Saccharomyces cerevisiae S288C: one gene and its partners. The gene in region 4 interacts genetically with the main gene of each other region. Each region holds a gene or a part of one and is shown on either strand. Other genes may lie near its edges. The genes, in order: PAC11, IML3, NUM1 and KAR3.

Region 1 (7,920 bases), on a different chromosome or scaffold from region 4:
TCTCATTGTCACCCAATTCGGTGTCTTTGTGAATGTTCAAATGGTACCTAGGCTCCTTAGTACTTGAGCCATCAACCTTTTTGCCCTGAACCAGGTTTCGTCTCAAAAAAACAGCCACATCCTCTAAATGTTGAATCTGATCCTCTGTGGTGAGTTTAGGATCTGGGGGACATAACATTCCTGAACGCATTTTAGCTCTCGCGGCTAGTAATACTTCAGCATCATTCCGGAAAGCTATTCGGGTTGCTCTTAAGCCATGCCTGTATGCATTCAGGGCCTTTGTTCTCGTGCTCATAGTGTGTTAAATTTATATAATTTGTTCTTTTTATTCTCTTCAGTGAAACGCAAGCGTACCGAAAAATATAAGGAAGTCTTTTAGTCCTATCCTTTTCTCTTCCTCTCTTTCCTTTGTAGTAGGTTCACTTATTCAAACGTTTAATTTTTCGGCATTACTCACTTTAGTAAGACCAAAATTAATTAGGCTAATATAGCGAAGTACCTGTCAAAATGCGATCTATGATAAAAGCATGATGTGACGAATATCTAAAAAGGAATAAAGACTTTTTTTGCATTTAATTATTTTCTAACCTTAGATATATAATGTTATTTATTTGATTTTGTAGTAGTTGTAGGCCCATCAAGGGTGGATATGAGAATGCATTAATTTGTAAGAATCGATAATGGCTTTCAAGTGGCATACAGAACCAAGAACCACCATAATATGAAATATTTGATGAGAGCTACCGAAGAAATCGAACTTCCCTGGAGCCAAAGTTTCAGGAATCCTAAACCCGTAGATTACAGCCCCTGAAATGTAAAAGAGAGCTTCCCAAAACACAAAGCTGACTTTTATTCTGTTAAGAACCCCTTGGATACCGAACTTGAAAAACCCTGTGGTCAATGGGAGTAAGCCACTAAATCCAAACAATATGAAAAACATGGCCCTAAATGGACGAAATGTGGAAGTGTTAAACTTGTCGTGGAGGACACAGACTGTACAAAATGTTGCCAGGACTAAAGTAACAATCGTGAAAAGACTGAAGTAGGATATGTGGTCGAAGTAACCAAAGTATATTATAGGGATCATAGAACAGGAAATCAAACTGATAATCCCCAAGTAGTCGAGCTTGCTCCAGAAATTGCTTTGCTTTTCAGAGTGTTGCTTCATGCAGTGGAAACAGCTACTGCACATGAGACATGAGAAAGCGCCCATCAAGAAAATGTTTATAACGGTGTAATCGGACCAGGAAGTGGAGGGGAAAACGGGAATTAGAAAGTAGTTGGTCAACGTAATGGCAAACACGAAGTATACGATAGCCGGTACCAAATGTGTATAAATGTTCACAGTCTCGTTGTTCCAATAAAATAAAGAATATAAGCACTTTTTCCATGACAGTGTTTCACGAACGTACCCGGTGAGAATTTTGTCATTATCTTTTTGCCATTCTGGCAACTCATCGAAATTGTGTAGCAGTTTTTGCTTTTCAAAAACTGTCTGGCCTGAGACAGCTTCCACCTTAATGGAGGCTCTCGTTGCCTTGCAGCAGACACTATCTTGGTTTCTTCTTCTAGTAGTGGTGATACTCATTTTTTTTCTTCTTTTATCTTGCTTGACTCAATTAAGGCGACTAATAACAAAACGAATGACGAAAATGGAAAACAATAGAAAAGTTAGGAACCAGAATCACTTTTGTAAAGTTAATATTGCGCTTGCGGAGCTCCTTACTGTTTCAACTGATGATACTGATATGCCTTTAGAAAAGAAATCAAATTCTATTAACAGAAGGGTGCCAACATGTACGTATATATATATGTGTGCGTGTGTATATATGTCTGACATATACATGAGTAACCGGCTAAGTAAGGTTTTTACGTTGATTGCTGCATCCATCGGTCGTGAGTATTGTCAAATTGCCGATGCCCTGCAGGCAAAAAAACCGTTGAAAAATCGTTGGGAAAATGGGCTTGCCCGACTGTCGGATTTAAGGGCTTGGACCCTAAAGGTTGCATGATAAGACCTACTTATTTTAGCATATAACCCTATAAAGGTGAAAATCTCAGTAGGGTTATTTTCGTTTAAGGGAGCATGAAAAATTCAAGTTAGTACATATTAATGGCTTTGAGATATTGCGGAGTGACAACAAGAGTAATACAGAGCAGGCGAGAAAGTAACGCTGGACAGTCACTATCTGGTACAACTTGCGCACGTGTACTTGCTTGAATACTGCTACTATATCATTAATATGGGAAATAGGTCTTTGACAGAGGCAGACCACGCCCTGCTGTCCAAGCCCTTGGTACCGACATCTGCGGAACATACACAAACGCAAGAGTATCCTCGTCCTTTCGTAGATGGCAGCAATTCTCAGAGCGGGTCTGAACTACAGGCTTCTCCACAAGGTCAGTTTGGAGAAAAGGCATTGACTAGTACTAATCGCTTCATTCCCCTGGCAAATGATGACCCGGGTATGCAGCACGAGATGGGTCTTGATCCCTCAATGAGGCGTAGAAGAGAAGAATGGGCAGAACGTGGTGCGGCAAAAATCGTCAAAGATGTTGTCGACCCAGCTACGGGGGAGTTAACTAAGCATGTTGTCAAGATGGGAATAAAGGACTTCAAGTTTGGAGAGCAACTCGGGGATGGATCATATTCTAGTGTTGTTCTGGCTACCGCCCGTGATTCGGGCAAGAAATATGCAGTAAAAGTGTTGAGTAAAGAATATCTGATCCGTCAAAAAAAAGTTAAATACGTCACAGTGGAGAAATTGGCTTTGCAGAAGCTGAATGGCACCAAGGGCATATTCAAGCTTTTCTTCACTTTCCAGGACGAGGCAAGCTTGTATTTCCTTCTAGAATATGCCCCCCACGGTGATTTCTTGGGCTTGATTAAGAAATATGGATCTTTAAACGAGACATGTGCACGCTATTATGCGTCGCAGATCATCGATGCCGTTGACTCCTTGCATAATATCGGCATTATTCACAGGGATATCAAGCCCGAAAACATATTGCTCGACAAAAATATGAAAGTGAAGTTGACGGATTTTGGTACAGCCAAAATTTTACCGGAGGAACCTTCGAACACCGCAGATGGCAAGCCTTATTTCGATTTGTATGCTAAGTCGAAATCATTTGTTGGTACCGCAGAATATGTTTCTCCTGAGCTACTGAATGATAATTATACAGATTCCCGTTGTGACATTTGGGCATTTGGTTGCATATTGTACCAAATGCTTGCGGGAAAACCGCCTTTTAAAGCTGCCAATGAATATTTGACATTCCAAAAAGTAATGAAGATTCAATATGCGTTTACTGCAGGTTTTCCGCAAATAGTAAAAGATTTAGTTAAAAAACTATTAGTTAGGGATCCAAATGATAGATTGACCATAAAGCAGATCAAAGCACACCTCTTTTTCCATGAAGTCAACTTTGAAGATGGTTCTGTTTGGGATGATAATCCACCGGAGATACAGCCATATAAAATAAATGCAGAGGCGATGAAGCCCCTGCAAAAGGTTTCTGAATCTGATACCACTGTCAAAATGGCCAACCTTCAGCTGGCTGGTAATGGACATGCAGATACTCCCCTGCAAGCACCAGCAGCGACCTCTCAAGAGCATTCTGTGATCAGTATGACTGCAGCAACCGCCGCATTCAATAAAGATTATACAAGTCAACCCAAATTGGGGAGCAAGTCAAGCACATCTGTTAGATCTGCCTCCAACAACACAGATCGCGAGGTAATTCAAAAGAAGGTTTCAAAAAATCGCGCATCTGTATCATCTCCTTCAATTTCTACTACATCACGGGGGAAAGATAATAGAAGTCGCTCTTCTGACGCCTTCTGGTCACGCTACTTGCAAAATATGGATGAACGTGTCTTGTTGATGAAGGAGGTAGCGCTTTCCACACGAAACTTAGAGGACTCACCTGTAGGTCTTGAGAACGTGGCTCTGGACTACAAGAACCCTCTTGATATCGAGCCTCCTACTGATAGTGCAGGCAAATTTTACAAGAAAATGTTTCTAATAACAAACCTAGGCAGAGCACTTGTTTTTGTCAAGAGAAGAAGTCTCAGCATGTGGGAAGAACAGGAATTTGAATTGCAATTCGAACTAGAGTTGAATGACGTTGAGAAGATACGCTTTATAAGTGATCAAGTCCTTGAAATTGACGGTTCCAGGACGATTTTCATAGGATGCAAAGAGAGAGCAGTTTTAATGAAACTATGGAAATTAATACATAATGGAATGACCGCCAAACCTAAAGTAGTATCGCCGAAGTCGGACCATAAAATGTTTGATAAGTTCATTCTTCAAAAAAGACAGAATACAAAAAAAAAGAATCAAGCTCCTCCCGTACCTCAATCGAATAGGCTAATAAATGGTTTACCGGACCGTTGCATCTTAAAGACACCCGAAGAAGGCGCACTTCACACAAAACGTCCCACTTCGTTGCAGACCCGATCGTCATCTAATTACTCAAAATTGCTGGCAAGATCGACACAAATGCGGAAAAACATGACACGGACAGATGAAAAATGAAACTGTGCTTGATAATATATATATATGCATATGTAAGACATGGTGAAGGGGAAAGTGTAATGCATAATAGTTCAAATAAGAGCAACTTTGTCGTCTCTCAGCAGATCCCTAATGACTTCATATCTCATAACGTAAATACTTCCAATAGTGAGTTCAACCTCTTCCTTTAAATCGGGTATTGTGACCGTGTAGCAAGGTTTACCGAACTCGTTTTCCTGCAATAGCGGATCTTCGTTCCATTTACCATCTGGTGGGCCGTTAACGTGTATAAAGACAAATTTGTTCCAGTCGGGCTCATCTATCATGTTTACGCTACCTTCTGTATCATTAATAGCCTGAAGTTCTTCGGGCATGTATTTCAGGATAGAATCATTGACTAGTTTCAACCAGATCAGGGAATGCGTGTCATGGTATTTGATTTCATCTTTGGATAGTAAATCTGTAAGAGAGATCAGCGAATTTTCATCTTCATTTAATTGGCGCAAATAAAGTGAGAATTTGTCAATTTTGCTTAGCCTACATCGTATGTAGCTTCTAATAACAAATTTCAATCTTTCTAACTCAGTTTCCATGCAGAGTAAAGGCAATTTAGATTCGTTAGGCATAGGCGGGTTCGCATTAGAAGCATTTTGCATATCGAGGAATCCCATTGAAATGTTTTCAATTAATTGAGATTGCATGGATATTCGATTCAATAATCTTTTCATCAACTGATGAGGATATGGTAAGAGTTCTGGCGAACACCGTTCATTTTTCCAAGACTTCATCAAGTCAGAAAAATCCTGCTGGGGAGAGACATATATCTGAGTCTTGTCATTCAAGTCTAAGGACGAACCCACTATTGTATTTGCATCTCTGTGGGTAGTGGAAGAAGAACCTTGCGTGATCTTGGTAGAGTCGACAGCAGTAGTTTCCTTATCCAGTTCTGCAAGAATATCGTCTATGTTAATGTCCATCACCGAGTCAGGTATCTTATTCTCCTTCCCAATACTAACAAATTTGGTTTTTCTTACCTATGGCTCAAATATAATGCTATTGAAATTTTCAGTACTAGTCCAAGGCGAAAAGAAAAAGAAATGAACTAGTTTTCGTGTTTTGCCGTAAACAAAGAGAAAAGGGAAAAAAGAGCATCACAGTTGGTTAATCAACCAAAGAGGAAGAAGGATTGAAACATTAAGATGGAGCGATTGAAGCAACTGGAGGAAAAAAGGAGACAATTGAAAGAGCTGCGTGAGAGGCGAAAACAAGCCAGCTTGTTCCCTGGGAGCGAGACGATGGGCCACCATCCCACAGAGGTGCACGCTAAGGCAACCATGGTCAGCGTTTCAGTGCAGACCGACATGGAGGAAGGCTCAAAGATTCAAGAGCCCCAATCTGCATATCTTCGACGTAAGGAGGTTATAACATACGACAAAGGCATTCAAACAGATCAAATTGAGGAAGAACAACTGCAAGAAAATGAAAATCACACCACTACTGATGCTGTCGCCATTGAAACTACTGCTGCCGACGAAAATAATAAAGACAAAGCTGAAAACGACCAGCCAAGGTTAGAACTAGCCAAACCTTTTCTTGTTGAAGAGGCGGCGGCAACGCTGAGCAACGCTAGTTTTGCGCGGCTGGAGACAGAGGTTTCTGCGTCAGGCCAGCAGGCGCCATCGAACATGCAACAGGATAAAGACAACCTCATGCAATGGAACATGGTCAGTGAGAATTTACAATCAGAGACAGACTGCGATTGTATCGCTCAGGAGTATGACCCAGGAAAAGGCGTCTTGGTTGTGGTTTATCTACGATTGCCGCCGGCAGACCTACAGTATGCTAGCAGCGAAGCGGCGTGGTCTGTGGTGAATGTAGTCAAGTGCGATAATGCCAGCGGACGCAACGGCCTCTTGATAGATATGGTAGAGTTCCGTGGTACGCGGATCATGACAGCCACGATCCTCCGTCGGTATCATCCGGAAAGCAATGTAATATCAATCTTGTTGGCGACCTTGACGGGCAAGATCATATTGTACGAGCTTAGATTGAAACAGAAAAAGCCAGAAACACCGGTAGTGTATGTCGTGCAGCGAAATATGGTGGCAAGACACTACTTTCAGCACCCAGTGGTGGCTGTAATTGAAACAAGCAGCGTGCAAGATCAAGAGAGAGTACTTGTGGCAGCTGATAATGGCAATATTATGGAGTTGAGCTGCCTGGACTTGACTGTTTTGCGGAAGCCACAGCAGCTCCGTCCTGTACCGCTATCACAGCTTTTATCTTTGGAGAATGATACTTGCACATATACGGAGCGATTGCAGCGGTTGGCAAAGTTTGATGAGGTAGGTATAGCTTGCATGGCGTACACGAGTGAGGACCCGCAGTACGTCTGGATCGGTGGCGAAGACGGTGGTATATACAAGGTTTTCTGGGACCAACCTGGGCCGCTGTACCTCTCTTTGGACAACAATGGGTTCCAACCTGCAGAAAACCACTCTACGAGGGTAACCGGGTTAGAGTTTCATTGGGACGATGCTCGGCGGCTAATGCTTCTATTATCATGTTCCACGGACTGGACGGTGCGGCTGTGGGACGCGCGAGCAGGGAAAGCTATCATAGGGGCGCCATTGTTGTTAGGGGGGCCCGTACTACGTGCACGCTGGCTCGAAAAAAACAATGGAGGGGAAAATAGTCGCACTCTACGGTGTCAAGTGTGGTGTGCAGATGGTCGCCTCGTTGTTGTAAATTGGGCTTTCGATGCTAAGACGTCCCTCTACACGGCCACTGTTATCTCCTAACGCCGCTTCGAGGCGGGTGAGCATAGGTTATTGCCTGATGAGTAATTTCTTAGCGAGAATTGATAAAAAAAAGCAAGGCTATTATTAATATACGTGCTATTGTGAAATTTTCATTGGCGTATATATGTGAGGTGAATGTAAATATCTCCAACAAAAAGCAGAAGGCTAAAAAAAAGGAAAGGAAAAGAAGAAAAGGCAACGTCGAAAATGTTTACACCAATTGATCAAGCTATAGAACACTTCAAGCAGAATAAGTTTGTAATTGTTATGGACGATGCCGGTCGTGAAAATGAAGGTGATCTTATTTGCGCTGCTGAAAATGTCAGCACTGAACAAATGGCCTTTCTTGTACGCCATTCCTCAGGCTACGTCTGTGCACCTATGACGAATGCCATTGCTGATAAGTTGGACCTTCCACTACTGAGAACAGGCATGAAGTTTGAATCCAATGATGACGACAGGCATGGAACTGCATACACAATAACTGTAGATGTAGCCCAAGGCACTACCACAGGTATTTCTGCTCACGACAGGTCGATGACTTGTAGGGCTCTTGCAGACTCTTCCTCTACGCCAAAATCATTTTTAAAACCAGG
Region 2 (3,943 bases), on a different chromosome or scaffold from region 4:
GCAGTTGCTGCAGTGTTATAAGAAAAATAGAATGAAATAAGATAAAGCTAGACGAATTGTGTCTATTTTCCTACATCGCCATAGAATTGCTTTTTTTTTCTTGATTAGATGAAATGAAAACAAGGAACTCTATTTGTTTTCATTTTGTTGGGCTTATCATGTAAAGAAAAATGAGTCGTGTCCTCTTTTTCCTCGTGCTTGTATGACTGCCGCACTTTCCGCTAAGTGCGCTCGTCTATATGATTTTATGCAAATATATACTGAAAGTTCAACAAAATTAAACTATGTGAACATTAGTTCATAGCAGCCATTGGCCCGTTGTGTCGGGATCTCTACACTAAATTGTAATGTCTCTGGGATTTTGTGGGGTGTCATTGCAGATATGACGAACCGGATATTACTGATAATGACGATGATTCATGAAGGTCTTCAGGTTCATATGTACAAAAAAGGTAGAGCTGTGGTTTTTTATTGTATCTTGGTGAATATTCTTTATAGTGTTACTCGCTGGTAAACTGAATCGATTGGAGTACAACTGCTAGAACTCTGTTCCTGAGACTTCGTGTTGAAGTGACAATGGATTCTCTCATTATTTTCGTGTGCCCTGCCAATATGACGGAAGTCAACGGTAATCTTTCCACCGCCATCCCCGTTTCATTATAAATGTAGGGTACAATTGCATCGTTATACGGGTGCATAGTATTACCATAGCCAAGAGCCAAACCCTCACAGCTTTCTCTCGGTATTTCTATACTGAATTGCCGCAAGTTTTTGTCTTGTGTTTCTGGTTCAAAATATAACTTTGAGCTAAACCAGGTAATTTGTTCGATGTTCTCTTTCGTTACGTGCACAATGCTGGCGTCAGCTAACTTTATCATGGTCTTCTGTTCAAATTTTATCGGCCACATAATGACACCGTACTCTGCCTTCAGCCACTGCAATACCACTTCATTGCGGTTATCTGTCCCGCAATAGCACAAAAACATCGGCACCTCCATTTTTGAGTTCCCCAAGAAAATGAACTTAGAGTAAGTGCCCTCATCTAAATTAGAGATGTCCAACCTCATTTCGTAACGGATATACTCGTCAGCGGCGGTACCACCATCAGGATCACTGGGTACTCGAATGGTTTGAATGTCTAAATCTACTTCCAGGTTTAGCAATTGGTTCAACTTTGCTATACCATTTTCCAGTGAAAGTTGCTTGCTGATTCCTAAAAACTTCCAAGTATAAGGCATTCCATCCAAAGGAAGTACGTTGATACCTATAGACAATCAAATCAACCATGCAGTCGACCAGATCATCCCACTATGGTTGTTGTCTATTTCATATCGGTGTCGGCATTTTTTTTTCCCGTAGTACCACTGGATCTGCCTAAATCGCGCTTCAGGAAAACCAGGGACCACCCTATTTTTTTATATTTCATCATCTAAATTAAGTGTATACATATATGGATAAAGTCATTTTGAGTTTACATAATCGTATGTTCGAGAGAGGTCTTTCATAAAAAAATCAAGTTATCAACCAGCATGGGATTTTGGGAGAACAACAAAGATTCCATCACTTCAGGGCTGAAGAGCGCCGGTAAATATGGTTACCAAGGAACAAAGTACGTTGCCAAGACAGGGTATAAGGCAAGTAAGAAGCACTATAACAACAGCAAAGCGCGTAGGGAAAGGAAGAGTGGTAAGAAAAATTCAAGTGATGAGGAGTATGATAGCGAAGATGAGATGGAGTACGAAAGAAAGCCGACCGATATAAGAAGTTTAAAAGACCCAAAGTCCTTTCCTCCCCCACCTTTGAAACCTGGACAAAAAACTTATACAGGACAACAGCAACAGCAAATGCCAAATGGTCAGGCCAGTTATGCTTTTCAGGGTGCATACCAAGGCCAACCTGGCGCAGGATCGACGGAACAGTCACAATACGCACAACCACAGTATAATCAGTATCCACAACAGCAGCTGCAACAAGGTGTAATGCCACAGCAACAGCAGCTGCAACAAGGTGTAGTGCCACAGCAGCCGCCTATATATGGAGAGCAAGTACCACCGTATGGGTCAAATTCTAATGCAACCAGCTACCAGTCGCTGCCGCAACAAAATCAACCCCAAAATGCAATTCCAAGTCAGGTATCTCTGAACTCTGCTTCTCAGCAAAGCACAGGGTTTGTCTCGCAAAATCTGCAATATGGTACCCAATCAAGTAATCCGGCACCATCACCGTCTTTCCAGAACGGTCTTCAGTGTCATCAGCAGCCGCAATACGTATCACATGGCTCAACCAATCTCGGACAATCCCAATTTCCATCGGGCCAACAGCAGCAGCCCACGACACAGTTTGGCCAGCAAGTTTTACCATCACCTGCACAACCACAACAGCAACAACAAGGGCAACCATTACCGCCCCCGCGCGGTCAAGTGATCTTGCCAGCGCCCGGAGAGCCTCTGTCAAATGGCTTTGGGCAACAGCAACAGCAACAGCAACAGCAACAGCAGCCTCTGAACCAAAACAACGCTTTGTTGCCACAAATGAACGTGGAAGGAGTTTCTGGGATGGCTGCGGTTCAGCCTGTCTATGGCCAAGCCATGTCAAGTACTACAAACATGCAAGATTCGAACCCCAGCTATGGAGCTTCACCCATGCAAGGTCAGCCTCCAGTCGGTGGACAACCGCCTGTGCCTGTAAGAATGCAGCCACAGCCACCGCAACCAATGCAACAGGGAAACATCTATCCGATTGAGCCTTCTCTTGATTCTACTGGCTCAACCCCACATTTTGAAGTTACTCCATTTGACCCAGACGCACCTGCTCCGAAGCCCAAAATCGATATTCCCACTGTAGACGTTAGTAGCCTTCCACCACCTCCCACTCATAGGGATAGAGGAGCAGTTGTACACCAGGAACCTGCGCCAAGTGGGAAAATACAGCCTAACACAACCTCTTCGGCGGCTTCATTGCCAGCAAAGCATTCAAGAACTACTACTGCAGACAATGAAAGGAACTCTGGAAACAAAGAAAACGATGAAAGTACCTCCAAGTCGTCCATTTTAGGACATTATGATGTAGATGTCAACATCATGCCACCTCCAAAACCTTTCAGACATGGACTTGATTCTGTACCTTCTGAGCACACCACGAAGAACGCACCAGAACGGGCAGTGCCAATTCTACCTCCTCGGAACAATGTTGAGCCTCCTCCTCCCCCATCACGAGGCAATTTTGAGAGGACAGAGTCGGTGCTGTCAACGAATGCCGCTAATGTACAGGAGGATCCCATTTCTAATTTTTTACCTCCACCGAAGCCATTTAGACATACTGAAACTAAACAAAATCAGAATAGTAAAGCATCACCTGTAGAAATGAAGGGTGAAGTTTTGCCAGGGCACCCCTCTGAGGAAGATAGAAACGTTGAACCATCGTTGGTACCTCAATCGAAACCGCAATCGCAATCTCAATTCAGAAGAGCTCATATGGAGACACAGCCTATTCAAAACTTCCAGCCACCACCAAAACCATTTAGGCGTTCACAATCGTCCAATTCTAGTGATAGTTCTTATACTATCGACGGACCTGAGGCAAATCATGGGCGTGGGCGTGGGCGTATAGCTAAGCACCATGATGGTGATGAATACAACCCCAAGAGTGAGAATTCTACAGAAAACGGTCGTTTGGGTGATGCCCCCAACAGCTTTATTAGAAAAAGAGCGCCAACCCCTCCGGCCCCATCCAGATCTGAGAAGTTACATGAGGGTACTATAACATCCGAAGTTGATAGTTCAAAAGATGCTAATAAATATGAAAAGTCAATACCTCCTGTAACTTCGTCTATTCAAGCGCAACAGTCTACGAAGAAGGCGCCTCCTCCTGTTGTAAAGCCAAAACCTAGAAATTTTTCTTTAAAGGCCAATGAATATCCCAAGGAACTTACTAGGGAAGCAAC
Region 3 (8,873 bases), on a different chromosome or scaffold from region 4:
ACGGCTGTTTGTGGTGAATTGATGATAGGAGTACCGTATAATGAACCAAAAACACCACCATTAGATATGGTGAAAGTACCACCCGTCATATCTTCTAGGGTTAATTTGCCATCACGCGCTTTATGACTCAAGCGAACAATTTCGTTCTCAATATCTAAAACACTCAATGACTCTGCATTACGAACGACGGGGGTAACCAAACCCTTTGGAGTGGCCACAGCAACAGAAATATCTGTGTAATCACGATAAACAATCTGGTCACCTTCAATGGCACCATTGACGGCTGGAATATCCTTGGCGGCCAAGGTACATGCTTTGGAGAAAAGACCCATGAATCCGAATTTAGTACCGGTCTTCTTAATAATCTCATCTTTATACAGTTTCCTCATTTCCATCAAAGCTGACATGTCAACTTCGTTGAATGTGGTTAAGGAAGCAGCAGTGTTTTGAGACTCTTTTAATCTTTCGGCAATCCTCAATCTCATACGGTTCATTTTGACCCTGGTTTCTGTACGTGGAAATGGTGTGAAAGAGTTAGAGGCTACTGGGGGTTCCTGCGCCTTAGAGACGGTCTTCTTTGGTTGATCAGCCTTTTTTGGTTCTGTAACTTCTTTCTTTGGAGCGGCTTCTTTCTTTGGAGCAGCTTCTTTCTTTGAAGCCGTTTCCTCACTTGAGTTTTCCCTTGCGGCGACACCTTGCGATGGCTCCGCTTGTTCGGTAGGCTCTGGCTTAGATTCTCCAGAACCCTCAGCAGGTGCTTCACCAGGCTCGACCTGAGCTAACTCCTCACCAACAGTGACAGTGTCCTCTGGTTTGAAATTTAGCTTCGTAACAGTACCTGATACTGGCGAATTGACCTCAATATCAATTTTATCGGTCTCAATAGTGGCCAACAGCTCGTCCTCCTTAATAAAATCACCAACGTTTTTAGTATATTCCTTTAAAGAGCCTTCAGTCAGGGACTCTGCCATCGGAGGAACTTCAATAGAGGTAGATTTAAAACGATTGCTAGTTATGGAGAACGGATTCGCCGCAACTGAAATTTTCTTGCCGGATAAATATATTGAACCTAAGGATTCGACCTTGTTAGCTTGTTTGAACAAACTTGTAGAAGCATGTCTCTTGACGAAAGAAGCAGCCATAACATTTCTAGCCACTTTAGATTTTACTAAGGATTTGGCAGCTGCAGTACGCGTCGCTCTGGAAAGCATTGTTTAAATAATTATCTGAAGTTGTGTCTTTGGTTGTAACAAATGTGGTAGTGAAGTTTATAACAATATATCTATTCACTGATATATACCGTTAAAGATAGCTGCCTAATTTTTTATTTCGGATTTTTCTTTTTTTTACGTTAGATATTTCCTCCCCTGAAGCTCAAAAAGAGATTATATATGAAAAGTAGGCCTAGTTGAGGGAAAAAGGATTTGCATTTGCTGATAGACCAAGTGTGGATCCGAGCCCTGTAGTAGAATGGTGCTAATGTAGAATAAGAATAAGCTTTAGGAACCATAGATTCCTGCGTAATTTGTGGCCGCTTTATTGGCTCACTCCGGGCAGGACCTTAGTTTTGATTGGCTGCAAAAAAAGGGTTGTTAATATCGTCTTTGACGGAGATGCGGGTGGCTGGAATTGTTTTGTTTATTATTCCCCAAGAGAGAAGAGACAAGAAGTAGTAATGACGATGGAACAAAGATCGGTTCTAATAGGACCACAGGGTTGAATAGAGACGAGTAAAGACGCAACGGTCAAGGCTTTCCACGAGACGTTCGAATATGTCCCACAACAACAGGCATAAAAAGAATAACGATAAAGACAGCTCAGCAGGGCAGTATGCAAATAGCATTGACAATTCATTAAGCCAGGAAAGCGTCTCAACGAACGGCGTAACAAGGATGGCTAACTTAAAGGCTGATGAATGCGGCAGTGGTGATGAAGGAGATAAAACAAAGCGGTTTTCGATTTCAAGTATTTTGAGTAAAAGAGAGACAAAAGACGTGCTTCCGGAATTTGCAGGCAGTAGTTCCCACAATGGAGTACTCACGGCGAATTCATCAAAGGATATGAACTTTACTTTGGAACTAAGCGAGAATTTGTTGGTTGAGTGTAGGAAATTGCAATCCTCTAATGAAGCTAAAAATGAGCAAATCAAGTCTCTCAAGCAAATTAAAGAGTCATTAAGTGACAAGATTGAGGAGCTCACTAACCAAAAAAAGTCCTTCATGAAAGAGTTGGATTCAACTAAAGATTTAAACTGGGATTTAGAATCTAAATTAACAAACTTGAGCATGGAATGTAGGCAATTAAAAGAATTGAAGAAAAAGACTGAAAAATCTTGGAATGATGAAAAAGAAAGCCTGAAACTTCTGAAAACAGATTTGGAAATTTTAACATTAACAAAAAATGGCATGGAAAATGATCTTAGCTCTCAAAAACTTCATTACGATAAAGAGATTAGTGAATTAAAGGAAAGGATTTTAGACTTAAATAATGAAAACGACAGATTACTTATTAGTGTTTCTGATCTAACAAGTGAAATTAATTCCTTACAGAGCAATAGAACTGAAAGAATAAAAATTCAAAAGCAACTTGATGACGCCAAAGCATCTATTTCTTCGTTAAAAAGAAAAGTACAAAAGAAGTATTATCAAAAACAGCATACTTCCGATACTACAGTAACATCTGATCCTGATTCTGAGGGGACCACTAGTGAAGAAGACATTTTTGATATAGTGATCGAAATTGACCACATGATTGAAACAGGCCCCTCTGTCGAGGACATTTCTGAAGATCTTGTCAAGAAATACTCAGAAAAAAACAATATGATATTGTTATCGAATGATTCATATAAAAACTTACTACAAAAAAGTGAAAGTGCATCCAAACCAAAAGACGATGAATTAATGACCAAAGAGGTGGCTGAAAACCTGAATATGATCGCGTTACCAAATGATGACAATTACAGCAAAAAAGAGTTTTCGTTAGAATCTCATATTAAATATTTAGAAGCTTCTGGCTATAAAGTTCTTCCTCTAGAGGAGTTTGAGAACCTAAACGAATCCCTATCAAATCCATCATATAACTATCTCAAGGAAAAACTTCAGGCTTTGAAAAAGATACCCATCGATCAAAGTACGTTTAACTTGTTAAAAGAGCCTACTATTGATTTTTTACTGCCTTTAACATCCAAAATTGATTGCCTGATAATACCTACCAAAGATTATAATGACCTTTTTGAGAGTGTCAAGAATCCATCAATTGAACAAATGAAAAAATGCCTGGAAGCAAAGAACGACTTACAATCGAATATTTGTAAATGGCTGGAGGAGAGAAACGGCTGTAAATGGCTAAGTAATGATCTGTATTTTTCAATGGTTAATAAGATAGAAACACCTTCGAAACAATACCTGTCAGATAAGGCAAAAGAATACGACCAAGTGCTGATTGATACTAAAGCCTTAGAAGGTTTAAAGAACCCAACGATAGACTTTCTAAGAGAAAAAGCTTCTGCATCAGATTATTTATTACTCAAAAAAGAAGACTACGTGAGCCCATCACTGGAATACCTAGTTGAACATGCCAAGGCCACCAATCACCATTTACTATCGGATAGTGCATACGAAGACCTAGTCAAGTGCAAGGAGAATCCTGATATGGAATTCTTGAAGGAGAAGTCTGCCAAACTAGGCCACACTGTGGTATCCAACGAGGCATATTCTGAATTGGAAAAGAAACTAGAACAACCATCACTGGAATACCTAGTTGAACATGCCAAGGCGACCAATCACCATTTACTATCGGATAGTGCATACGAAGACCTAGTCAAGTGCAAGGAGAATCCTGATATGGAATTCTTGAAGGAGAAGTCTGCCAAACTAGGCCATACTGTGGTATCCAACGAGGCATATTCTGAATTGCAACGCAAATACTCAGAATTGGAGAAGGAAGTAGAACAACCATCTCTAGCATACTTAGTTGAACACGCCAAGGCTACCGATCACCATTTACTATCGGATAGTGCATACGAAGACCTAGTCAAGTGCAAGGAGAATCCTGATGTGGAATTCTTGAAGGAGAAGTCTGCTAAACTAGGCCATACTGTGGTATCTAGCGAGGAATATTCTGAATTGCAACGCAAATACTCAGAATTGGAGAAGGAAGTAGAACAACCATCACTAGCATACCTAGTCGAACACGCCAAGGCTACCGATCACCATTTACTATCGGATAGTGCATACGAAGAACTAGTCAAGTGCAAGGAGAATCCTGATATGGAATTCTTGAAGGAGAAGTCTGCCAAACTAGGCCACACTGTGGTATCCAACGAGGCATATTCTGAATTGGAAAAGAAACTAGAACAACCATCACTAGCATACCTAGTCGAACATGCCAAGGCTACCGATCACCATCTGCTATCGGATAGTGCATACGAAGACCTAGTCAAGTGCAAGGAAAATTCTGATGTAGAATTCTTGAAGGAGAAGTCTGCTAAACTAGGCCATACTGTGGTATCCAACGAAGCATATTCTGAATTGGAAAAGAAACTAGAACAACCATCACTAGCATACCTAGTCGAACATGCCAAGGCTACCGATCACCATCTGCTATCGGATAGTGCATACGAAGACCTAGTCAAGTGCAAGGAGAATCCTGATATGGAATTCTTGAAGGAGAAGTCTGCCAAACTAGGCCACACTGTGGTATCCAACGAGGCATATTCTGAATTGGAAAAGAAACTAGAACAACCATCACTGGAATACCTAGTTGAACATGCCAAGGCCACCAATCACCATTTACTATCGGATAGTGCATACGAAGACCTAGTCAAGTGCAAGGAGAATCCTGATATGGAATTCTTGAAGGAGAAGTCTGCCAAACTAGGCCACACTGTGGTATCCAACGAGGCATATTCTGAATTGGAAAAGAAACTAGAACAACCATCACTGGAATACCTAGTTGAACATGCCAAGGCCACCAATCACCATCTGCTATCGGATAGTGCATACGAAGAACTAGTCAAGTGCAAGGAAAATCCTGATGTAGAATTCTTGAAGGAGAAGTCTGCTAAACTAGGCCATACTGTGGTATCCAACGAAGCATATTCTGAATTGGAAAAGAAACTAGAACAACCATCACTGGAATACCTAGTTGAACATGCCAAGGCCACCAATCACCATCTGCTATCGGATAGTGCATACGAAGAACTAGTCAAGTGCAAGGAAAATCCTGATGTAGAATTCTTGAAGGAGAAGTCTGCTAAACTAGGCCATACTGTGGTATCCAACGAAGCATATTCTGAATTGGAAAAGAAACTAGAACAACCATCACTAGCATACCTAGTCGAACATGCCAAGGCTACCGATCACCATCTGCTATCGGATAGTGCATACGAAGACCTAGTCAAGTGCAAGGAAAATCCTGATGTAGAATTCTTGAAGGAGAAGTCTGCTAAACTAGGCCATACTGTGGTATCCAACGAAGCATATTCTGAATTGGAAAAGAAACTAGAACAACCATCACTAGCATACCTAGTCGAACATGCCAAGGCTACCGATCACCATCTGCTATCGGATAGTGCATACGAAGACCTAGTCAAGTGCAAGGAGAATCCTGATATGGAATTCTTGAAGGAGAAGTCTGCCAAACTAGGCCACACTGTGGTATCCAACGAGGCATATTCTGAATTGGAAAAGAAACTAGAACAACCATCACTGGAATACCTAGTTGAACATGCCAAGGCCACCAATCACCATCTGCTATCGGATAGTGCATACGAAGACCTAGTCAAGTGCAAGGAGAATCCTGATATGGAATTCTTGAAGGAGAAGTCTGCTAAACTGGGCCATACTGTGGTATCCAACAAGGAATATTCTGAATTGGAAAAGAAACTAGAACAACCATCACTGGAATACTTAGTCAAACATGCCGAACAAATACAATCAAAAATTATATCGATCTCGGACTTCAACACCTTAGCTAATCCATCTATGGAAGATATGGCTTCAAAATTGCAAAAGTTAGAATACCAGATTGTTTCGAACGATGAGTACATTGCATTGAAAAATACGATGGAAAAGCCGGACGTTGAGTTACTAAGATCCAAGTTGAAAGGTTACCATATAATTGATACAACAACGTACAATGAGCTAGTCAGCAATTTCAATTCTCCTACGTTGAAGTTTATTGAAGAGAAAGCCAAAAGCAAAGGTTATAGATTAATAGAACCTAATGAATACCTTGACTTGAATAGGATAGCCACTACACCTTCTAAAGAAGAGATTGATAACTTCTGCAAACAAATTGGGTGTTACGCTTTGGACTCTAAAGAATATGAAAGACTAAAAAATTCTCTGGAGAATCCCTCCAAGAAATTTATAGAAGAAAATGCCGCATTACTTGATCTTGTGCTAGTGGACAAAACGGAGTACCAAGCAATGAAAGATAATGCAAGCAACAAGAAATCACTTATTCCTTCAACCAAGGCACTTGATTTCGTTACAATGCCTGCCCCACAGCTTGCTTCTGCAGAGAAGTCATCACTACAAAAAAGAACTTTATCTGATATTGAAAATGAGTTAAAGGCCTTAGGCTACGTCGCAATTCGTAAAGAAAACCTGCCAAACCTAGAGAAACCAATTGTTGACAATGCCTCCAAAAATGATGTCTTGAACCTATGTTCGAAATTCAGTTTAGTACCATTGTCTACTGAAGAATATGATAATATGAGAAAGGAACACACTAAAATCTTAAATATTCTCGGTGATCCATCTATTGATTTCCTGAAGGAAAAATGTGAAAAATATCAAATGCTCATAATTAGTAAACATGATTACGAAGAAAAGCAAGAAGCCATTGAAAATCCAGGCTACGAATTTATTTTAGAAAAAGCATCAGCACTGGGATATGAATTAGTTAGCGAGGTTGAGCTGGATCGCATGAAACAAATGATTGATTCACCAGATATTGACTACATGCAAGAAAAGGCTGCCCGCAATGAAATGGTGTTGTTGAGGAACGAGGAGAAGGAAGCATTGCAAAAGAAAATAGAATATCCCTCTTTAACATTTTTAATCGAAAAGGCTGCTGGAATGAACAAAATACTTGTTGACCAAATCGAGTATGATGAAACTATAAGAAAATGCAATCATCCCACTCGGATGGAGCTAGAGGAATCCTGTCATCACTTGAACTTGGTTTTGCTCGACCAAAACGAGTACTCAACTCTAAGAGAACCTTTGGAAAATCGAAATGTTGAAGACTTAATTAACACCTTGAGCAAACTAAACTACATTGCAATTCCTAATACTATCTACCAAGATTTAATTGGAAAGTATGAGAATCCAAACTTTGATTATCTAAAGGATTCTTTGAACAAAATGGATTACGTCGCAATCTCTAGACAAGATTATGAATTGATGGTTGCTAAATACGAAAAGCCACAACTGGATTATTTGAAAATTTCTTCAGAGAAAATCGACCACATTGTAGTGCCTCTGTCTGAGTACAATTTAATGGTTACAAATTATAGAAATCCCAGCTTGAGCTACTTAAAAGAGAAAGCCGTTTTGAATAATCATATTTTAATAAAAGAAGATGACTATAAAAACATTTTAGCAGTATCAGAACATCCGACAGTGATCCACCTCTCCGAAAAGGCATCTTTATTAAATAAAGTCTTGGTAGACAAGGATGATTTTGCGACCATGTCACGCTCGATTGAGAAACCAACTATCGATTTCTTATCCACTAAGGCGCTATCAATGGGGAAAATACTAGTTAATGAATCTACGCATAAAAGAAACGAGAAACTATTATCTGAACCAGATTCTGAATTTTTGACAATGAAAGCCAAGGAGCAAGGGCTAATTATCATTTCAGAAAAGGAATATTCTGAACTGCGGGATCAAATAGATCGTCCTAGCCTAGATGTTTTGAAAGAAAAGGCCGCCATTTTTGATAGCATCATAGTAGAAAACATAGAATACCAACAACTGGTAAACACTACAAGTCCCTGCCCTCCCATTACTTATGAAGATTTGAAAGTATATGCCCACCAATTCGGTATGGAATTATGCCTCCAAAAACCCAACAAACTTTCTGGAGCTGAGCGTGCAGAGCGCATTGATGAACAATCAATAAATACGACCAGCAGTAACTCGACCACAACATCGAGCATGTTTACAGATGCACTAGATGATAATATCGAAGAGCTTAATCGTGTCGAATTGCAGAATAATGAAGATTATACTGACATAATCTCGAAATCATCCACAGTGAAAGATGCTACCATTTTCATTCCCGCCTATGAAAACATCAAGAATTCTGCTGAAAAATTAGGCTACAAATTAGTTCCGTTCGAAAAATCAAATATCAATCTGAAAAACATTGAAGCTCCATTATTTTCGAAGGACAACGATGACACTAGCGTTGCCAGTAGCATAGATCTTGATCACTTATCTAGAAAAGCAGAAAAATATGGTATGACCCTCATTTCTGATCAGGAATTTGAAGAATATCATATACTAAAAGATAACGCGGTTAATCTGAATGGTGGCATGGAAGAAATGAATAATCCCTTGTCAGAAAATCAAAACTTAGCAGCAAAAACCACAAACACAGCGCAAGAAGGTGCCTTCCAAAACACCGTTCCCCACAATGATATGGACAACGAAGAAGTCGAATATGGGCCGGATGATCCAACATTCACAGTAAGGCAACTCAAGAAACCCGCTGGCGATCGTAATTTGATTTTGACTAGTAGGGAGAAAACACTGTTATCAAGAGATGATAATATAATGAGTCAAAATGAGGCGGTTTATGGTGACGATATATCTGATAGCTTTGTAGATGAAAGCCAAGAAATCAAAAATGATGTA
Region 4 (8,743 bases):
TGTACTTTTCAATACGTCCTTCCTTTGGTTTAATCATCTTTTCATTTGGATCGATGTTCATACACAATTGCAAAAATTCTCTGTCTAAGAATGGAACACGAGCTTCTAGACCCCAAGCCATCGTAGACTTGTTAGCTCTCAAACAATCTGCCAAATGCAAGTTCTTGACACGTTGCACGGATTCAGTGTGAAATTCTGCCGCAGAAGGAGCTTGTGCGAAATATAGATAACCACCGAAGATTTCATCGGAACCTTCACCGGAAAGAACCATCTTGACCCCTTGGGCCTTAATCTTTCTGGATAGTAAGAACATTGGAGTGGAAGCTCTGATAGTGGTAACGTCGTAAGTTTCCAAATGGTAGATCACGTCGTCCAAAGCATCCAAACCTTCTTGTAATGTAAAGGTGTGTTCATGATGAATAGAGCCGATGAATTTGGCAACCTTTCTTGCGGCTTGCAAATCTGGAGCATTTGGTAAACCGATGGCAAAGGAATGGAGACTTGTCCAACCAGCAGTGTGTAGCTTACCGTCATCGTCGATACCTGCTAGATGTCTTGCCTTACTATCGTAAGTTGATGGTTCGACATCGTTAGTGGCCTTTGCAGTTTCACGGGCAGCAATGGAAGCGATTAAAGAGGAGTCCAAACCACCCGACAATAGAACACCGTATGGGACTTCGGCCATTAATCTCTTTCTAACGGCTTTTTCTAAGGAGTGTCTAATTGCCATGTAATCTATTGGGGTGGAAGGAATGCGTTTTTCGTCCAGCCAATCTGGTGTGAAGTAACGGGTGATCTTGTCAGTCTTAGAATCGTATACGTGGCCCGGTGGGAATGCAGTGATAGTGTCACAGTCGTCAGTCAAACATTTTAGTTCGGATGCAAAATAAACGGTCTTTGGAGAAGCGGAAGAGCGTCCCATATATAATGTCGTAATACCGATTGGGTCTCTGGCTGCCACAATACGATCTTGTTTAGCGTCGTAAAGAGTCCAAGCAAACATACCATCCAAGTACTTAGGAGCGTCGATATCGTGCTTTAAGTACATTGGGATGATAGGCTCACAGTCACTCAGTGTTCCAAACTCGTAGTCTGCGCATTCTTCTCTTAATTGAATGTGGTTGTAGATTTCACCGTTAACACATAGCATGTACTCTCCGTCTGAAGAAGTAATTGGTTGAGCACCGGATTCCACACCGACAATGGCTAGTCTTTCATGAACAAATATAGTGGAGTTCTTGATAGCATTACCGGACCAATCTGGACCACGGTGTCTGATTCTTTTTGATAGTTGTAGAGCCTTTGGCTTATATCTATGCACGTCTTCGTGCCTGAAAGCGGCGAAAATACCACACATCTTAAGTTACGTCCGATTTATATCCTTAGCGTAAAGCAAGTTATACTTTTTCTTATTTTATTATGTAAAGGTAAGAAGAGTATGCGATCAGGGTCCAAACAGAATCTGTCTCCTAGTGGCGTTCACTATAGGGTTATATATGCGTATCTATAAATGCGCATAAATTCAAGAACGAACTATTTGTCATCTCGAGTGGGCAGCAAATTTTCAGTTTACAGAATGAGTCAAATGTTACATGAGTTAAGGCTCTTTTCCTTGTGCTCTCTCTCTCTGTCTGAGCCTGCCAAATGATAACAGTCATAGGCCCTGTACCTAATTTGCCGTCCACGGCAGCAGTACTGCTGCCGTGTGATTGGTGGATAGATAGTGCCAGCGATAAGAAACGGTAGTTGATGCCCGAAGGTGCTTTCCAGCGCAGAAAGACAGACCCCAGGCGTATTTGCGCTCACGTTGCACGAACACGGGCGGCATTCGTGATGACAATAGATTTAATTTAGATATGCACTGGTTTCCACAGAGACCAATCGACAGTCTTCCATGCAAGGTCACTTATTGTTAACGGCAAGTTTCCCTGGATGTCCGCTTTAAAACTGTTTCGGCACGGTTTAAAGGACACAAGTTTTGACTAGTCTACAATTTAAGAACATATAAAAAGCTACTTGTGTACAGATGAGATGACTACTCCCAAGTCAAAAACAACAAAAGAATGAAAGAAAAAAGAATCAGAATTTTATAAAAGCGTCCTTGTCATTCTTAAGAATGTAACAAGATCAATGGGTTGCGCAGGAACCGCTATCTCCATTAAAACCTCAGATCGCTCCGAGAAGAATTGTTCGATTTGAAACGCAAATAATATCATCGTATTCTTTTAAAAACTTGGAAGGTCATTGGTTTCTTTAAATGAAACCTCCAAAGAAAATCTAACGCGTCTTGGTAAAATATATGTACCGAGTGTTTCGCTTTTTATACCTGTTAAATGAAAATCGAAAAAAAAGAAAAAGAAAAAAGTTTTTCAGCACTTCTCTACGGGTAATCCTCGTATTTGAAGGTTTAGGGCTATTCTTGAAATTTTTCACTAAAATTTTCCAACTGAGAAAAAAAAAAGTGTATTACGGTTTTGATGAGATGAGATGAGATGTAATTATCATCCTCTATTGCCATGAAGAGAGATCTATTAAAAAGAAACGTCAAAGAATATGGTATTGCTTATATCAGAAATTAAAGATATTGCCAAGAGGCTGACTGCTGCGGGTGACAGAAAGCAGTACAACTCCATTATCAAGTTAATCAATGAACTAGTGATTCCAGAAAATGTTACTCAATTGGAAGAAGATGAGACAGAAAAAAATTTGAGATTTCTGGTTATGTCGCTATTCCAGATATTTAGAAAGCTGTTTTCCCGCGGCGACTTGACCCTTCCTTCGTCCAAAAAGAGCACATTAGAGAAGGAACAGTTTGTTAATTGGTGTAGAAAGGTGTATGAAGCGTTCAAGACGAAGCTGTTAGCTATCATTTCGGACATACCTTTCGAAACATCACTTGGGTTAGATTCGCTTGATGTCTATCTTCAACTTGCAGAGCTGGAATCAACTCATTTTGCATCTGAAAAGGGCGCACCATTTTTCCCCAATAAAACATTCAGAAAGTTAATCATCGCCCTATGGTCCTCGAACATGGGTGAAATAGAGGATGTCAAAAGCTCGGGTGCGTCTGAAAATTTAATCATAGTAGAATTCACGGAAAAATATTATACGAAATTTGCAGATATTCAATACTACTTTCAATCAGAATTTAACCAACTATTAGAGGATCCAGCCTACCAGGACTTGCTTTTGAAAAACGTTGGTAAATGGTTAGCTTTAGTAAATCATGACAAACATTGCTCTAGTGTTGATGCAGATTTAGAGATCTTTGTACCAAATCCCCCACAAGCCATAGAGAACGAGTCCAAATTCAAGTCCAATTTCGAGAAAAATTGGTTATCCCTTTTAAACGGCCAATTGTCTTTACAGCAGTATAAGTCTATTCTGTTAATTTTGCATAAGAGAATAATACCTCATTTCCACACTCCAACTAAACTAATGGATTTCCTTACTGATTCCTACAATTTGCAAAGCTCTAATAAAAACGCCGGTGTTGTTCCGATCTTGGCTCTGAATGGCCTTTTTGAATTGATGAAAAGATTCAACTTGGAATATCCAAATTTTTATATGAAACTTTATCAAATTATAAATCCAGACTTAATGCATGTTAAATACAGAGCAAGATTTTTCAGGTTAATGGACGTATTTTTGTCATCAACACATTTATCCGCCCATTTAGTAGCATCTTTCATCAAAAAGCTAGCCAGACTCACCCTAGAATCACCACCCTCTGCTATTGTCACCGTGATTCCCTTCATCTATAATTTAATCAGGAAACATCCGAATTGTATGATTATGCTGCACAACCCAGCCTTCATTTCCAACCCATTCCAGACACCTGACCAAGTGGCGAACTTGAAAACTCTGAAAGAAAACTATGTAGATCCCTTCGATGTTCATGAATCGGACCCTGAGTTAACTCATGCACTGGATTCCTCTCTGTGGGAGCTGGCGTCATTGATGGAACATTATCATCCTAATGTAGCCACGTTGGCGAAGATATTTGCTCAACCATTTAAGAAGCTAAGTTATAACATGGAAGATTTCTTAGACTGGAACTATGATTCTTTGCTCAATGCAGAATCTTCAAGAAAGTTGAAGACACTTCCTACGTTAGAATTTGAGGCTTTCACAAACGTTTTTGATAATGAAGACGGCGATAGCGAAGCGTCATCCCAAGGTAACGTCTACTTGCCTGGGGTAGCATGGTGAAAGCGAAGATGAACAACGAAGTTTTAAAAGTGTGTATATATACATTTATATCAACAGAGTCATCGATTTCCCTTGTTTGAGATGTAAAAAAAAAAAAAAATAGAAAATAGTAAGTCCCTGTTATCAATTTTGCCTAGGAAAAAAACCTGGGTCAAAAATAAATGGTCTCTAGCGGGATCGAACCGCTGATCCCCGCGTTATTAGCACGGTGCCTTAACCAACTGGGCCAAGAGACCATTCTATTGTTGAAGATTGTTTAATTTAGATAAACTTTCATAATGTTGAGAATTGCTTATTGCGATATATAAAGTTGAACCAAAGATCAATTTCTTTTTATGTATTGTAGAGAATTACAATTTGAAAAAGAGCTAAGGGAAATTGCTATATTCTAAAAGAAGTGCACAAGTACATTACCTTGAATTTTTATATTTATTCATGATATATTAATATTAATATATCGATGGTGAAGGACACCACACCTGTATTTCTTTGATTGAAAACAATTTTGTAACATTGGCTGCAAAAGTTTTTGCAATTGATATGAAACTATATGATAATATAGAATGCAAACAAAATTCAATTGCAAGGAGGAGGGAAGATATAGGGCCCCTTTCTCGCTTGACATAGACTAAATAATATACAGTTTTTATTTCTTTATTTTTTTTCTTCTTTTGACATGAACATGTTGATTATTCATTGTCGCTTCCTGCGGCAGCTTTAACTAAATCCAAAAATTTTTCTTTGGAAACTTCAGTGATCAATTCTTTCTTTTCTTCTTTATTCTTAATTTCGCTTAAATTTTCGGATACTTCCTTTTCTGTCTTGACTTGAGTTGCTAAAATGGCGTTAAATAATTTCACGGCACCTTTTTGAGCTATCTTTCTGAGCGCTGTCTCCTTCTCAAGGACTTTTCTAATATTTTCTGACCTGTCTTCTCCGGAAGCAATTGGAATAATATCCGTCTTTCTGGCTTTACCTAATAACTTTTTTTTTTCTGCCAACAATGCTTTTTTGGCCTTGTATTCTAGCTTTTCTGACTCACTTTGCTTCAGCACCTTTTTGTTTCTAGCCATGATGGGGTCCTTCCTGTCGTATGCTTTCAGATGTGATGATAAAATAGCATTTACTGCAGCAGAAAATCCAGTAGAACCATCATCATGTTTGCTGTTTTTCGATTTTTTCTTTCTTGGGAAGTCGTCGTCCTCTTCTTCTTCATCATCATCTTCTTCAGCATCACTTTGTTCGTTATCTATAATTTTAGATGATTCATCGCTAGAGCTATTCTGCTCGTCTTCTTCGGCTTCATCACCTTCCATTATTGTATCTTTTTCCGGCTCATTACTTAACTCTTGGTTGCCACTATTCCTTTTTTCACGCCCAAATTCTGCATTCTTTCTGGTTCTTTTCTTATCCTTAGTGTCTACTCTGTGCTTGGAGCCCATGATCAATTATGTACTGATTTTCCTTCGGCTTCTCTATCGCTTTATTCATAGCATCTGTTTATTACCTTTCCTTATATCTTATGGGCATCGAATCCTAGATTTTTTTCTTTCAAAATTTTCCAATAAGAGGGTAATGGAGATACACCAAAATGAATCTCAAACAAAATCAAAACAAACACTGTTTACAATTTGATGCGCCTCGAATCAAAATATGATGATGAGTATTACAGCTAAAAAAATTATCGAATATTATATAAGCATTAAAGCTATCAATTTTTCCGCTCTTTGTGTTTCTTATTATTCTATTTGAATATACCAGAACAACTATCCGGAGTCTTTGTTTAAAAAAGGTAGATTTTGAAATAAAGGACTTAGAGAAATTCTGGCAACTATTAAACTATGGAATCACTTCCACGTACTCCCACAAAAGGCAGATCTACGCAGCATCTCTCGACACCATCGCCGAAGAATGATATTTTAGCTATGAATGGCCACAAAAGAAGAAATACAACAACTCCACCGCCTAAGCACACTCTTCTGAAGCCGCAACGTACGGATATTCATAGACACTCATTAGCTAGTCAGAGTCGCATATCCATGTCACCTAATCGCGAGCTTTTAAAGAATTATAAAGGTACAGCAAATTTGATTTATGGAAACCAGAAAAGCAACTCCGGTGTAACTTCCTTTTATAAAGAAAATGTTAATGAACTCAATAGAACACAAGCAATCTTATTTGAGAAAAAGGCAACACTAGATTTACTCAAAGATGAACTAACAGAAACGAAAGAGAAAATCAATGCCGTTAATCTCAAATTTGAAACCCTTCGTGAAGAAAAGATAAAAATTGAACAGCAACTGAATTTGAAAAACAATGAACTTATCTCGATTAAAGAAGAATTTTTGTCAAAGAAGCAGTTCATGAATGAAGGACATGAAATACATTTAAAGCAGCTAGCGGCATCTAATAAAAAAGAGCTGAAACAAATGGAAAATGAATACAAAACAAAAATTGAGAAATTGAAATTTATGAAGATTAAACAGTTTGAAAATGAAAGAGCGTCGCTTTTAGATAAAATAGAAGAGGTAAGAAATAAAATCACCATGAACCCTTCCACTTTACAGGAAATGTTGAACGATGTTGAACAAAAGCATATGCTTGAAAAAGAAGAATGGCTTACAGAGTACCAATCGCAGTGGAAAAAGGATATAGAGCTGAATAATAAACATATGCAAGAAATCGAAAGCATAAAAAAGGAAATCGAAAATACATTAAAACCTGAGTTGGCAGAAAAAAAGAAGCTCTTAACAGAAAAGCGTAACGCGTATGAAGCTATCAAAGTAAAAGTTAAAGAAAAGGAAGAGGAAACTACAAGGCTGAGAGATGAGGTGGCATTAAAACAGAAAACTAATTTAGAAACTTTGGAAAAGATCAAAGAACTTGAGGAATATATAAAAGACACTGAACTGGGTATGAAGGAGTTGAATGAAATTCTGATTAAAGAGGAAACGGTTAGACGCACATTGCATAATGAGTTACAAGAGTTAAGAGGAAATATACGAGTTTATTGTAGGATTCGTCCAGCTCTAAAAAATTTGGAAAATTCTGATACTAGCCTTATTAATGTTAATGAATTTGATGACAATAGTGGTGTTCAATCTATGGAAGTGACGAAAATACAAAACACAGCGCAAGTGCATGAATTCAAATTTGATAAAATATTTGATCAACAGGATACAAATGTGGATGTTTTTAAAGAAGTTGGTCAGTTAGTGCAAAGTTCATTAGATGGATATAATGTTTGTATCTTCGCATACGGACAAACAGGATCTGGGAAAACTTTCACGATGTTAAATCCAGGTGATGGTATCATTCCGTCCACAATATCTCATATATTTAACTGGATCAATAAATTAAAGACAAAAGGATGGGATTATAAAGTTAACTGCGAATTCATTGAGATCTACAACGAGAACATCGTAGACTTATTGAGAAGTGATAATAATAATAAAGAAGACACAAGCATTGGCTTAAAGCACGAAATACGTCATGATCAGGAAACTAAGACTACCACGATAACGAATGTTACGAGTTGCAAGCTTGAGTCGGAAGAAATGGTGGAAATAATCCTGAAAAAAGCAAATAAATTAAGATCCACCGCTAGCACAGCATCAAATGAGCATTCCTCCCGTTCACACAGTATTTTCATAATTCATTTGTCTGGATCAAATGCAAAAACTGGAGCACACTCGTATGGCACACTAAATCTTGTTGATTTGGCCGGTTCCGAAAGAATAAATGTCTCTCAAGTTGTAGGGGATAGATTAAGAGAAACACAAAATATAAATAAATCTTTAAGTTGCTTAGGTGACGTTATTCATGCTTTAGGTCAGCCTGATAGTACCAAAAGACATATACCGTTCAGGAACTCAAAACTGACATACCTACTGCAATATTCACTCACTGGGGATTCGAAAACATTAATGTTTGTAAACATTTCACCAAGCTCCTCTCATATTAATGAGACTCTCAATTCGTTAAGATTTGCGTCTAAAGTGAATTCTACCAGATTGGTTAGTAGAAAATGAGGTCAAGGCCTTTTCTGGTCTTTTTCACTCCTTTGACAAATGACAGAGACTGTCCATACATTCATCACATGTAACTATATTATATATGAAACTCATTTTAATGCGCACAGATAAAAAGCAAAGTAAGTAATGAATATTTGTTATGTAAAAATGACCTCATACATGCTAGTATTTACACGAATTTAATTGCTTAAATTTCAATCATCCTTACCCTTTGGTTTACCCTCTGGAGGCAGAAACTTTTGCATCCTCCTTATTGCCCAATTTTCGCCAATGACTTTAACATCTGGGTCCGATTTACCTTCCGTGGTGTTGAACCGCTTCCACCATGAGGGGGATTTGAACCTAGGGTCTTCGCGTGGTAATTTGCGAACTTCATTTCTAATTTCAGCAACATGGGCTCTCAGTTCAGCGGCTAATCTGCTTCTTAAATCTTGCGCCTCTTTACCATATTTCAATTCGTCAGAGAGGTCGTTAGGATTTTTGGGATCATAGTATTT

What was found.
Region 1: mutations in KAR3 (region 4) and PAC11 together harm fitness more than expected from each alone (negative genetic interaction), as found in Saccharomyces cerevisiae (4 studies listed by BioGRID, with this or other methods).
Region 2: mutations in KAR3 (region 4) and IML3 together harm fitness more than expected from each alone (negative genetic interaction), as found in Saccharomyces cerevisiae (5 studies listed by BioGRID, with this or other methods).
Region 3: mutations in KAR3 (region 4) and NUM1 together harm fitness more than expected from each alone (negative genetic interaction), as found in Saccharomyces cerevisiae (4 studies listed by BioGRID, with this or other methods).

Annotation. Positions count from the first base shown.
Region 1 is NC_001136.10:1,428,592-1,436,511, reverse strand, and holds PAC11 (dynein intermediate chain), read left to right. Parts: upstream 1-5,722; coding exon 5,723-7,324; downstream 7,325-7,920. Other genes in the region: MZM1 (Mzm1p), read right to left, coding at 1-295; IZH1 (PAQR-type receptor), read right to left, coding at 638-1,588; serine/threonine protein kinase PKH1, read left to right, coding at 2,244-4,544; DNA replication protein SLD5, read right to left, coding at 4,616-5,500; 3,4-dihydroxy-2-butanone-4-phosphate synthase RIB3, read left to right, coding at 7,532-7,920. UniProt on the Saccharomyces cerevisiae protein: Required for viability in the absence of the kinesin-related CIN8 mitotic motor. May be a dynein intermediate chain.
Region 2 is NC_001134.8:453,293-457,235, forward strand, and holds IML3 (Iml3p), read right to left. Parts: upstream 1,239-3,943; coding exon 501-1,238; downstream 1-500. Other genes in the region: AIM3 (Aim3p), read left to right, coding at 1,530-3,943. UniProt on the Saccharomyces cerevisiae protein: Component of the kinetochore, a multiprotein complex that assembles on centromeric DNA and attaches chromosomes to spindle microtubules, mediating chromosome segregation and sister chromatid segregation during meiosis and mitosis.
Region 3 is NC_001136.10:753,856-762,728, forward strand, and holds the start of NUM1 (Num1p), read left to right. Parts: upstream 1-1,772; coding exon 1,773-8,873. Other genes in the region: KGD2 (dihydrolipoyl transsuccinylase), read right to left, coding at 1-1,211. UniProt on the Saccharomyces cerevisiae protein: Controls nuclear migration. NUM1 specifically controls the interaction of the bud neck cytoskeleton with the pre-divisional G2 nucleus. Functions in dynein-anchoring.
Region 4 is NC_001148.4:815,234-823,976, reverse strand, and holds KAR3 (Kar3p), read left to right. Parts: upstream 1-6,053; coding exon 6,054-8,243; downstream 8,244-8,743. Other genes in the region: ASN1 (asparagine synthase (glutamine-hydrolyzing) 1), read right to left, coding at 1-1,357; ribosome biosynthesis protein NOC4, read left to right, coding at 2,554-4,212; rRNA-processing protein RRP15, read right to left, coding at 4,902-5,654; TAZ1 (lysophosphatidylcholine acyltransferase), read right to left, coding at 8,441-8,743. UniProt on the Saccharomyces cerevisiae protein: Minus end-directed microtubule (MT) motor involved in spindle midzone assembly, poleward transport of newly captured kinetochores along the lateral side of MTs, karyogamy (nuclear fusion) during mating, and with an essential function in meiosis I.